Arabidopsis thaliana: one gene and its partner. The protein of the gene in region 1 interacts with the protein of each later gene in a pairwise test. Each region holds a gene or a part of one and is shown on either strand. Other genes may lie near its edges.

The links.
Region 2: the proteins of DMC1 (region 1) and AT1G04650 interact in a two-hybrid assay, tested with the Arabidopsis thaliana proteins (one study listed by BioGRID).

The regions. Positions count from the first base shown.
Region 1 is NC_003074.8:8,097,098-8,102,871, reverse strand, and holds DMC1 (DNA repair (Rad51) family protein), read left to right. Parts: upstream 1-1,939; 5' UTR 1,940-2,131; coding exon 2,132-2,148; intron 2,149-2,317; coding exon 2,318-2,400; intron 2,401-2,815; coding exon 2,816-2,907; intron 2,908-3,000; coding exon 3,001-3,072; intron 3,073-3,161; coding exon 3,162-3,200; intron 3,201-3,312; coding exon 3,313-3,370; intron 3,371-3,453; coding exon 3,454-3,499; intron 3,500-3,576; coding exon 3,577-3,622; intron 3,623-3,781; coding exon 3,782-3,843; intron 3,844-3,944; coding exon 3,945-4,011; intron 4,012-4,094; coding exon 4,095-4,187; intron 4,188-4,273; coding exon 4,274-4,342; intron 4,343-4,426; coding exon 4,427-4,505; intron 4,506-4,613; coding exon 4,614-4,780; coding exon of another isoform or gene 4,781-4,792; exon of another isoform or gene 4,793-4,833; intron 4,834-4,879; coding exon 4,880-4,924; 3' UTR 4,925-5,194; downstream 5,195-5,774. Other genes in the region: AT3G22870 (F-box and associated interaction domains-containing protein), read right to left, coding at 5,401-5,774. UniProt on the Arabidopsis thaliana protein: May participate in meiotic recombination, specifically in homologous strand assimilation, which is required for the resolution of meiotic double-strand breaks. Mediates interhomolog recombination during meiosis.
Region 2 is NC_003070.9:1,294,070-1,301,077, reverse strand, and holds AT1G04650 (holliday junction resolvase), read left to right. Parts: upstream 1-2,054; 5' UTR 2,055-2,174; coding exon 2,175-2,222; intron 2,223-2,514; coding exon 2,515-2,607; intron 2,608-2,821; coding exon 2,822-2,956; intron 2,957-2,994; exon of another isoform or gene 2,995-3,043; coding exon 3,044-3,133; intron 3,134-3,222; coding exon 3,223-3,372; intron 3,373-3,542; coding exon 3,543-5,137; intron 5,138-5,302; coding exon 5,303-6,185; 3' UTR 6,186-6,451; downstream 6,452-7,008. Other genes in the region: AT1G04660 (glycine-rich protein), read left to right, coding at 1-410; AT1G04645 (Plant self-incompatibility protein S1 family), read left to right, coding at 6,839-7,008.

The DNA of each region.
Region 1 (5,774 bases):
GACAATATAGACACTTTCCAAGTTAGAGGCACTTTTCCTTCTTTTTGAAGGAAAACTTGACTTTTATACCTCTTAACTAAACAATCGAAAACAATAACTAAATATATATCTTAACCAAACAATTAAAAAAATAAAAGAATTTAGATACGTAGTTATTAATATAGACCATTAGATTGAAAAATAAAAATTAAGATCTATGGCTGAGATTAAAGACAATAAATGGATTAATTTTTTGATGTTAAAATCTGATTAGAAAAAGGTATTTCTCTTCGTCTCTAGAACTAAATCTCTCTCTCTAAAAAAACAATCGTTTCTCCCTTTCTCCTTCCTGAAGATCGTTTTTTCATAAATCCATAGTAGTTTAAAAACGAAGCAGAGAGATGTTGAAAATCGTTTCTCATGAAATTAATCGATTATTCTCTGTGAAGTTCTTTAATCCACACAACTTTCCTCATGAACATGATAATAGTAGTAAATGGAGGTTTTTCCTATGGTTACTCTAGACGAAGGAGGATCTCCTTGTGTTGGACAGGTTTGTGATTTCTTTCCATGGATTAAAAAAATTTGATTGTTTGTTTATGATGAACGATTCTTTGGCTACGGAAGAGTGTCATGGAGTTCTGGCGAATTCTTTGGCTATGTTTGGTGATTTCGTTTTTAATCAAGTTGGGAATCAATAGGAAACAACTAAGCATACAACATAGATTAGAAGAGATATCAAGATGGATCTAATTTAAGTAAGATTTGGCGACTAATTCTAGATGATTAGGGTTATTTGTGATTTATTACAAGGCATTTGTGTTCTCATTGATTTGGCGAGTAATTCTGTATGACTAGGGTTATTTGTGTTTTCTTAAAAAGAATTTGTGTTCTTGTTGAAATCTTGTTCATTGGAATTATTTGTGTTTGGTAAATCTTCATTGGTGGCTAAGGATGTGTTTGTAGCTCTTACGGCGTTTGTTATTGGTGATGTCCATTATGGATGGCAAATTATGGATGGCACATTATGGATGATGAATCATGGATGACATATTATGGATGACGCATCATGGATTGTATATTATGGATTGATATGGTGAGATTTGTAAATCTTTTGGTCTTACATGTTAAGAGTAAAAGATGAAGAATTGGAGAAGCATGTCTAACATCCTAAAAACAAGCTATATGCGGTTGATTTGCTACAAATAATTTTTTGGTATCCATAATAACAAATCCATTTAAATATATCCATTCAGAAACCTTTCTACTGATCCGTATCCATTCTATATACCATGTCAATAATAATAGGAGATTCGATTAACCGTGTTTTGTAAAGAAACCAAAGTTCCATGTCCATAAGGTTTTGAAGGTGGAGGTCTCTGCAAACTGAAAAAAAAATCAACAAACAATTTTTTGGTGTCCATAATAACGAATCCATTTAAATATATCCATTCGGAAACCTTTTTACTGATCTATATCCATTTTATATAACATGTCCATGATAACAGGAGATTCGATTAACTGAAATCTCGATGCTACGTAGATGAAACGAGTTTGACACATGAGAGAGAGCAAAAATCAAATCAAACCGCCATTGTTGAAGAAGAAGAAGTTTCTTCTCATTTTTTACAAAGATGAAGAGAGAGAGAGGTGAAGAGAGAGAGAGAGATGAAGAGAGAGAGAGAGAGAAAGAGAGAGATGAAGAGAGAGAGAGAAAGAGAGAAAACGTGGGTTAAGATAATATTTTAGTTAAGAGGGTATTTTAGTAAAAAAACATAAAAAAGTGCCTAATCTTTTGAAAGTGCCTAAACACAGAAATAGTTTTAAAAAAGTGTTTAAGAGTGTAATATTCTCTTTTTTTCACCTAGATTCCTTCTATTGACCGTCGATAGACGGATGATAACTATGACGTGGCATTATCGCAGCCATCAAACAAAGTCATGTATAACAAAGAAGAGCACACAAACGAAAACAAATTCAGTTGCGGAACCCAAATTCAAATCAACGGAATTAGAATCACGCTTTCAATTCCGTAACCCGCCATTAAAAACCTTGAACCCTCGAAGCAAATCGAGCAAAGATTTTCAAATTTCGAATTTCAAAATTCTATCTCTCTCACTCTTCCAAGCTTAGAGACTCTTAGAGCGAGAAAATGATGGCTTCTCTTAAGTAAGTGATTGATCTCTCTCTTTCTCTCTACTACGATTCTTCTTCTTCTTCTCCATTCATCGTTTTGGTTTAAGCTTTGTCTTAAGTTTTGTGTACCTGACTCGCTTCTTCTCGTTTTTATTTTGTTTTCCGATGATCCTGATCTGTTTGTGTTGTTTCGGATTCATAGAGCTGAAGAAACGAGCCAGATGCAGCTCGTTGAGCGTGAAGAAAATGATGAAGACGAAGATCTATTTGAGATGATTGACAAATGTAAGATTTGAATTCGTTTTCAACTTTTACGATTCTTCACTTTTTCGTTTCAAATCTTCATCATCTGTTTTGGAATCGTCTCTGTGTGTTTATCTCTTCTAATTTCGCCCACTTTTGTTTATCTAAACCTCGTTGTTGCTTAATCGCTGGGTCTTATGAAATCAGATCTAGAATCGTTCATCTAATTTGAGGAATGTTCTCGCAATCTCTGTTAGATTTCGAATTTAAGTATGAATCTAGGATCGATATTGATTTCTGAACATGGTTCTCCTTGGTAACGAATAGTTTATGGTCCATTTCGTTTACTGTTTGTGGAATTCGAGTGTATATTAGTGTACATAGTTGTTTGATTTCTGTATCTGGCTAAAATCTCTAGCTGATTTGATCTCGGGACTTTTATTTTTGCTTGTGTCAGTGATCGCACAAGGTATAAACGCAGGAGATGTGAAAAAGCTACAAGAAGCTGGGATCCATACCTGCAATGGTCTCATGATGCATACCAAGAAGGTATTAACCAGCTTATTTAGCTTTGCTCATTGGGTTTATACTATGTAGATGTTGGTTGCATGAGTCGATTGTTTAAACTTATGTTTGATGCAGAACCTTACTGGAATCAAAGGTTTATCTGAGGCCAAAGTTGACAAAATCTGTGAAGCTGCTGAGAAAATTGTGGTAAGTTTAACGTTTCCATCTGTTGTTGCTATATCAGTGTTACTTTCTGCATTTGCGTCATTTTAATTGTCAAACCATTTCTCCTTCAGAACTTTGGATATATGACTGGAAGTGATGCTCTTATAAAGGTTAGACTCATTGTTGCTTGATCCCACTAACAGAACTATTAGATTTTGATATCCTATTCAACATTTCATATTAGATATTGAAACTTACAAGTTGTTTTTTAATTGTTTACAGAGGAAATCAGTTGTAAAAATCACTACAGGGTGTCAAGCTCTCGATGATCTCTTAGGAGGTATGCTAAGTTTTGCTTTAGATTTTTGCCATCTTGATCACACTACTTAAGTTCTGGTTTAATTATTTCACATTTCTTGCTAGGTGGAATTGAAACCTCAGCCATCACAGAGGCTTTTGGGGAATTTAGGTGAGAAACAGCTGAGCCAAGCTCTATAAGTTTCCTGTTAATAGCTTGTATTCTTATAGAGTTTAATTTCACTTCAGGTCTGGGAAAACCCAATTAGCACATACCCTTTGTGTCACTACGCAGGTTGGTTTCTTTCCTACAGTCTCAATATGAAATATATGTTGTCTTGTTTACATTTCAGAGGCATGAGATGAGATTTTACTTTCTTTCAGCATATAAACCATTGAGGTACTCTGTCTCTCAATGTCATTGGTATTCATTTTCTGTATTGATGTATTACAGCTACCTACAAACATGAAAGGAGGGAATGGAAAAGTGGCATACATTGACACAGAGGGAACCTTGTATCCTTAATATCTTATAACAAATCTTCTGACCAGATCTTGTGTCTTCATTAGATTGTTTCTATATTCCATGATTTTTCCTTAACCCCTAAATTTTGTAGCCGTCCTGATAGGATTGTCCCAATTGCTGAAAGATTTGGAATGGATCCAGGAGCTGTGCTTGACAATGTAAGCATTATTAACCTCACATCTTTACTTACTCTCAGGACTGTGACTGACATTCAAAAATCTTATTCATCTTGATATAACAGATCATTTATGCTCGTGCTTATACCTATGAGCATCAGTACAACTTGCTTCTTGGCCTTGCTGCAAAAATGTCTGAGGAACCATTTAGGATTCTGGTAAGTAAAACATGTCTGATAATTTTAGTTTAGTTATCCATTCAAATATGAGTTAAATTAGCTGAGTTTTCTGACCTTGTTTCCAGATTGTTGACTCGATCATTGCTTTATTCCGAGTGGATTTCACTGGAAGAGGAGAACTCGCAGACCGCCAGGTTAAACTTGCCTCCCACAACATTACTTACATTATCATTGGCACAATCTGGCTTTGCTCAATAGTCCCAGTTTCTGTGTTGCAGCAAAAACTAGCTCAGATGCTTTCCAGGCTAATCAAAATTGCAGAGGAGTTCAACGTTGCTGTCTACATGACTAACCAAGGTTTACTTTACACTAGTTTGATATAATGAGATAAAGCATCAATTCTTTTTTTGTTTCTTGGTTGCACTAACTTAGCAAGTATCATCTGTTTCATTTGGTGGTTTGCAGTCATAGCTGACCCAGGTGGTGGAATGTTCATATCAGACCCAAAAAAGCCAGCAGGTGGTCATGTACTAGCTCACGCAGCCACCATCAGGCTCTTGTTCAGGAAAGGCAAAGGCGATACACGTGTCTGCAAAGTCTACGATGCTCCGAATCTCGCTGAAGCTGAAGCCATATCCTTTTAACCAAATCCACACACACACACTTGCTTTGTTTTTGATTATTTCATATAATGCAATGACTTCATTTTTTTCCTTAACTGAAGAAATCACAGTTTCCAGATTACTCAAGGAGGCATTGCTGACGCGAAGGATTAGAGGAGCGAACTCTTTTATATGTCATAATCACGAATTATGTCTGTTCTTAACTTGCTGCTTGTTTCTGCATCGAATCAGACGTTTTAATTAAGTCTTTTTATTCTTAGTTTCTTGTTTACCAAATAAGACGATCATTACTTGATTCGGCTTACAAAACCAATCTATGTATCTGATAAAGCTGCAAACAAAACAACTCTGGTTCGTTTGTAAAAAGACAATAATGGCTTTATAACAAGTAACAAGTAAAAGTTCATTATGATCATTGATTAATCAGTTGCACTGAATAATGTGTTATTCCTCTCCAACTTATTCATCTCTATTTTAGTGGATGAAAAAACTCTTTAAATTTCTCTTTTTTATTCATCTAAGTAACGTAAAATAGAAATGAAAGGGATGAATAATTTTAATCATCTCGTTTTCTCACTTTGCCAGTTTTTTCCTGCACATCAATCGATTTCATAATTGCTGCAAAACTCTCATATTGTTTTGTCTCCTCTTTTGGGTTCCATGGCAATATGATACTTTTCAAGTTCGACAAGTCTCATCATGTTTCGCTTATATCGACGGTTTTCTGAACTGCTTTGTCTTCTCCTTTTGCATCCTGGAGGTTGCTTGATTTTCACTAAACTTGGAACATAAGGACACACATATAGCCAACTATCTTGGTGGGCAGGTTCTCCGAGATCAACATCTCGGACTTGTCCAGCCTCTCCAATGATGAAAACTTTGTCGCGTTTCAACGGTTGCCCGAAAATCACGGCGACTTTGTTCACCTCGTCAATGAAGAAACTCCCTGTACAAGAATAAATCATCGGGCAGTCACGCACACCAAAGGTCAAAAACTTGCTCC
Region 2 (7,008 bases), on another chromosome or scaffold:
GTGTTGCCGGCGTGGGAGGTCTAGGGATGCCACTCATCGGTGGTCTTGGCGGGATCGGTAAGTATGGTGGCATAGGCGGTGCAGCTGGAATCGGTGGATTTCATAGTATAGGCGGTGTTGGCGGTCTAGGCGGTGTCGGAGGAGGTGTTGGCGGTCTAGGCGGTGTTGGAGGGGGTGTTGGTGGTCTAGGTGGCGTTGGCGGTCTAGGTGGAGCTGGTTTAGGCGGTGTAGGTGGTGTTGGCGGTGGTATTGGTAAAGCCGGTGGTATTGGCGGTTTAGGTGGTCTAGGCGGAGCCGGAGGTGGTTTAGGTGGAGTTGGTGGTCTCGGTAAGGCTGGTGGTATTGGTGTTGGTGGTGGTATCGGTGGTGGACACGGCGTGGTCGGTGGTGTGATCGATCCACATCCTTAATAGAGAGTATTTGTTGGTTAGGGTTTTAATTAAGGAATAATTAATTAGTTTCGATGTTATTGTTGGTCTTTTAATTCTGTGATCATTAGGGTGACTTTTGATCTATTTTCTAGTTTGGGCTTTTGTAACGTTTGCTTTGATTTCGGCCGTGGTGTTATGAAATGTGCGACTCTCTATGTTTGAATCGTTTTGGTTTAGGAGGTTCTCTTCTTCCATACTTTTGCATGTTCAAAGACAAATTTTTAATTAAGAGGAATTATCAAGGTTTCCGACGAGATATTTTTTGAAAATGAAATTGGTTTGAACTTGTAATGATATTTAAAATATGAAAACATCACTCAAAAATGGATGGAGTACAAACTTTTTCCACTATATATACATTACATGTAAAAAGTGTATAGATTTCGTTTTTGTTGCACTGTCTAACTCTAAATAAGTCGGATATCAAAGTTAGTATATAGTAAAAAAAAAAAAAAGTTAGTATATATATCCAAGTGGTAAAACCCGTAAAATTAACATATATATATATATATATATATATATATATATGAGTTTGGTCAAGGGTTTTGAAAGATCTCGACTAAGAGAAGACATATGAGTTTTGGTTCAAAAAGTCCTTCGATAATCATTAGAAACGAATTAATATATAGTAAAATTGAGTAAAAATGTTAATCTATTAACCAAAGGTTAACTATATAGAAGATTAATATATTATAAAACTAACCAAAACATTGGATATTGGTATATCCGGATTATTTTCCTCGTTGATGATCGCAATATTGCATTCAGCCATCTACTACACACTTCCTCGTTGATGATCACAATAATGCATTCAGCCATCTACTACACACTGACACATATGATTCGTAATTTCGTATGAAATGTTTGAACTCATACTTTTAATTTACATATTTAAGATGGACGTAACAATGAACATTTGTTCAGAACTTGAGATTGTACTACCCCTATAAATAACGCCTATTTACTAATTACTATGCATGGTTCATCATGGTTGGAAATTTCTTTGCAAATGATCTAGTGTATATTAATCCAAAATATATAGGAAAAATACATTAATTGTGGGAGGAAGACAGCAAGAATCCACAAAAAGGAAGCACTAATAAATGACGTAATAATTGCGTTGGGATGAGAGGGACACAAATTAAAGAAGATAGGATTTGCATGTCAAACACTTGTTGTCCCATTTCATGCATCGTCCTCTCTATTGTCTATTTCGCTGTCACAACCTCTAAATTTACATCTCATGCAATTTATTACGACGTATACATACACCCTTCAAATTTTTATTCGTTTGCATTTGTATATATATACATATATATTAGCTAGTAAAATTAATCACAATTTATAATTTTGTAATCATTAAAAATATTGTAGTAAAAAAAGCAAAACCCAAAAAAAATAGAAAAGAAAACTGAACTGGTTGGTGTTTGTGGTATTTTTTTTAATAATTTTGTTAAGGATTTGATATGGGTTTCAATTTTAATGGTGGACCGAATTGAAAATCATCGAGTGAAAATTGAGCTACTTACAAAGCCCAATTAGATCCAACGGGCCTCAAAATATCTTTTATATTCCATTTTTTTTAATTTGTTTTTGTTTAATAAATCAAAAATTGAAAAGCGAAAGGCAGAGAAAATTTCCAATATAGGCGAAATGTAAAGAGCGGGAAGCTAAAGCCTAGAGAGAGATTCTCACACTGCCAAAACAAAATTTCCCTGTAGAGAGAGAGAGAAAGAGTGAGTGATGGAGAAGAATGCGATGAAGTTACTCGAAGAGATCAAATCTTCTGATGTAAGCTTCTCTTTGATTTCCACCTTTGATTTGATTTTCTAGGTTTCTGTATATTTTTTCCAACTAAAATCTTCTGGTGGATTTTATCGCTTCCGGTAGTCATTTCTACGAATCCTCTCTGTTAAATCGAGAAATTTCTTCTGATTGCTTTGGGTTTTGTGATGTTTCTTATCAATTTCCCTTCCGATTAAGTTTCTGCAGCTTAATGTATATATAGAGTGATTAGGATTCAGTTGAGTTCTGTAGCTCATGGATCTAACGAGCTTCGTTTTCTTCATTGTTCGCTCAACAGCTTATCGAGAATCGGGCTCAATTACTCACGCGGCTCAGTCAGTTAGATGTTGAAGAGAATTCTGATTTGCCTTCTTTTGTGGAGAGCCTAACTGTATCCCCAGTCTTTTCATCAGTTTTGCTGATTTTCAATATCTTCAGTTATACTATGTTTAAAATTGAGATGTGGATATCCATTATGTGACGGTTGGATTCAGGATAATGAAGTGACGAACTTATATCTGCTTATTTGCATGTTTCACTTGGATTCATATATGCTTTAAGTGGTTTGTTTGTTTGTTTCCAAGTATTCCTTGACAGCTGTATAGACACTCTGGGAAGATTTCACATGTCTTGACGTTTCCCTGTGTTTGTTGAACAAGGCGATTCTGCCTGTGGCTTCAAAATACCTCGCTTTGGATCGGCCTGATTGCTCACACTACTTTCTTGCTTTTGCTATTAAGGTACAATGTTTTCATTTTTATTGCTTACTGCTCAACCTCAATTTTGGAGGGGTGTTGTATTATCTTTTCTTATTCCACTTCTTCTAGGTAAGCCAATGGTGTGCCAAACATTTAAACATGTCTGTTATGTCCATGGAGGAGTCTCAAGAGGAAGAGCATTCCAACATTTTCTTTCAGGTTATTTGATGCTTTTTGGTTCTGGAAGTAGGATTCTGTCGCAGCTTATGGTTTCGAAGGGACTGAGTTATTCAATCAATGTTATGCAGCTTCTTTTGGATTATCTTCGTTTTTCTGCCTCAAGCTTTACTGCTATTGGAAAAACTTGTTTCATGACTGATGATGCCTCAGCTGTTACAGTTCATAAGTTTGTTTCAGAGCAGCTCAATTTGACAAAGGAGTTGATAATGAATTCCAAGGTATCTTTGAAAATCATCTTTATCTTTCGCTAGTAACTACACGTACCATATCATGAAACATTTTTAACATTTGTTTTGTTGAAATTACTACTGTAGGTTGAGAATCAACTTGAGATTATTGTTTTGCCTTGTTGTCATCTGTTAATAACTTTCACCTTTCTATGAGACAGAAAGTCGAATCCTTTTCCTCGGAGATTTTTAAGGCTGTGCAAGTGGTAATTGATTCTACTGTTCGTCTGTGCAAAGAATACTCTCAAACAGTGAATCGTGAGGTAAGTGAAATGAAGACGAGTGGACATGTAGGAAAGGCAAGGATGGAGGAAGGCAACGCTGTGGGTAATTTGGTGAGCATGATTACGCTGGGAGTTAAATCTCTGAGTGAATTGGGTATGCTTGCTGCAAGAGATGGTGGAAATCTTGTGGCCATTCTTAATACATCTTGGAAGGGTGTGATTACATTGCTTCAACTAGACAAGCAGACATTGGTATCTAAGGTAGATGTAGGAGAAATTATCTTAAAGCTAATATCACTGATCAAGGACTCCCTGAGATTTGCTGCTGAGGCTTGGTCTTGCTCGGTGAAGGAAAACATATCTGCAACGGAAGCCAGAAGGGTCTTTCTTCCTGTGAAATTTTATCTTATCAATGCTGTTAAAGTTGTGGCGCTGTTTCCAAGCCAGGCGTCTATGGTGTCCAAGGATATAGCACTATGCATCTTGATGATCTCTGCTTTCAAAGTTTCACTGAGCCAACAAACTCATGGAAAATCCGCAAGTGAAGTAATGACTGATCTTCTGGAGAAAACAACTGTAGATCTTCTAGGTGCACTGTTAAATGCAGCTGAACTAACACAGGAATTCAGGCTCACACTTCTTGATTCATTGTTCGTTGATGAATTCTCAAACCAAATCTGTAAGAAGCAGAGCCATGATTCTCACACAAAAACATCATTGGTGGATATCTTGTCTTTATCTGTTGAATCTGCGACAAGTGCTAGAGATTTGCTCCTGGCCCGAGTTGTATTGTTCCAGTCTGTCATGAGGTATTCTTTCGAGCTTGACAAAGATGCAAAGCTTGCAATCACCACAAAGCTGCAATGGCTTCTCGACATATTAGCAGACAAAGAGGTTTACTCTTCAGTTCTTTCCTCTCAGCTACCAATGGCAGATGGTTCTGGGAAGATAGTAATCTGGGAATCAATGTATTCAGCTCTGCTTCTGTCTCTCAAAACCCTTATGATCATACTCTCTTCAACTCCTGCCTGGGAAGAGCTTGAAACATTCCTACTTCAGAATCTCTTGCATCCTCACTTCTTGTGTTGGCAGATAGTCATGGAACTCTGGTGCTTCTGGGTTCGTCATGCCACTGACGATTTGGTGGTCGATATGATTAATCAACTTTGTACATTCATTATGTCAATGCCATCATCAGAAACACCTCTTTGTCCAGATTCCGTTCTCAGAAGAACTACAAAGTCCATCTGCTTTCTTCTTACCCATAGCCCCAAATCTTTAACAGTTCAAGTTTACAAACATATTTCTACTGAGAGCAGATCTGACCATGCACCTGATGTATATCTAGCATTGCTGTTAGACGGGTTTCCACTGAATTTTCTTCCAGACAGAATAAAAAACGACGCAAAGAGACAGATATTTGCAGATTTCTTCAACTTCATCGAGAAATTCGATGAGAAACCGTCAAATTCCTCCAGATACACTCTGCTTGGAGCTCCAGTTTTCACAGTATCTGCTTGCCTTCGGATACTGTAAGTAATGATAATATATCTATTCTTGAGACTTCTCTGGGGATTTTATTACACGAGATAGCAAAAGTCAGATAATAGTAACTGAAAATAGTGTGAGCGAAAGGGTACATTTTCAATTTTTGTGTTGTGGATATTATTGACTGTTGTTGTTTTTCTTCCGTGTAGAAAGATGAGCATATCAGAGATTGATGCCAAAACTCTGAACTTTGTCGTCGCTCTCATTCAAAAGTACAGAAACTCCAAAGATGAAACGACGAAGGAACGTTACAGTGAGATTCTCAGCGAAACATTATCTATCATCTCAAGAAGCGAACAGCTATACACTTGCCAAGAGATGGATAATGTCATAACAGAGCTTCAAAAGCTATTCAATTCAGAAACTAATCATCATCATAATCATCTTCGTAAGTCCAAGCCAAACCTTGCTCTCTTCTTGTCAGGACTCAGCAAATACGAGATGTCTGAAACCAAAAAGTGTCCAAAGAGCATTGCGGTTTGGGAACTCTACCATATGCTTCTCAGGAAACGCCACTGGGCTTTGGTACACCACGCGGTTACTGCGTTTGGATACTTCTGTGCACGTACAAGCTGTAATCAGCTATGGAGATTCGTACCTGAAGACGCGGCTCTAGCCTTCGATATAGCTTCTGGAAAAGAAGCGAAAACAGAGCGGTTCATGTCGGAATTAAAGATGTTTTTGGAGAAAGAACAAGCGCTTCTTTCAATCACACCTTCAGAAGAAGAACTGGAGTTACTTTCGAAAGAAGGCACCGAGGTTAAGGCAACAGTGCAGAAGCTTCTAGAAGGAAGAAGCCAGAGGTCAATGGAAGTAGAGAAACGACCGAACAAGAAAAGGAAACTTCCAGAAGGAATTTGCAGAGGAATGGAGTTATTGCAGAATGGAGTGAAGAGGATTAACGAGGGTTTAAACGAATTGAGGTCAGATGAAAATGAGAGTGAAGAGTTTCAAAAGAGTTTATCGAATCAGTTTTCGTGTCTTGAAGATTTGGTCTCTCATTTGTTAAGCCTCACCGCAGCTTCGGACTAAAGTATCTTCAGTGGCTATCTATCACACACTGTTAAAAGACTTTTATGCTAACAGATGTTTGGGATTAAAGATGTTCTTTAAGAAAGAACAAAGCGCTTCTCTCAAATACACTTTCACAAGAGGAACTTGACAAACTTTCCTCTTATAACATGATAAAAAGTTGAAATAGTAGCGGATTTACCTCTTACCACCGAAATTTTTGAACAAACGAGGTTAAGTTGTCGACAACGGACTATAAGATTTTTGGGGCCAAAGGCTTAATTATTTTCTCAAGGTAACATTAAAATATTTTAAAAACATTATTGTAAAAATATTAATAAAATTGGGACTTCTTTGTAATATATTTTGCTTAATTTCATCAGAAAATGTGGGGCCAAAGCCCATGTTTTTTTGGACGATCAATTTCGCATAATCCATTAAGATTTAATATTATTATTTTATTTTTTTTGTCTGGGTCAAAACCACACTAAATTCTCATTTTACTGATTTGGATGTTTGTTTGGTCACATGACTTTTACACTGATTTCTTTGTTTGTTTGGTCAATAGTCAATGGGATAGTTACTATGTGAAGAAACCGTCGAGCCCTTGGAATACTATAAAATCAACTCCAAGAGCAACCTGAAAAGCCACATTCATAAATACAAACATCAAAATGGAAAAAGTTTCTATTGTTTGCTTCTTCTTCTTTCTTTTATTTGGTTCGGGTTATGGGGGCCTCCCACCGTTCTGGCGCGCTACGGTTGTCACGATGACAAACTTGATTGGCGGTCCACCTCTTACCATACATTGCAAATCCAAGCAAGACGATCTAGGAATTCACGT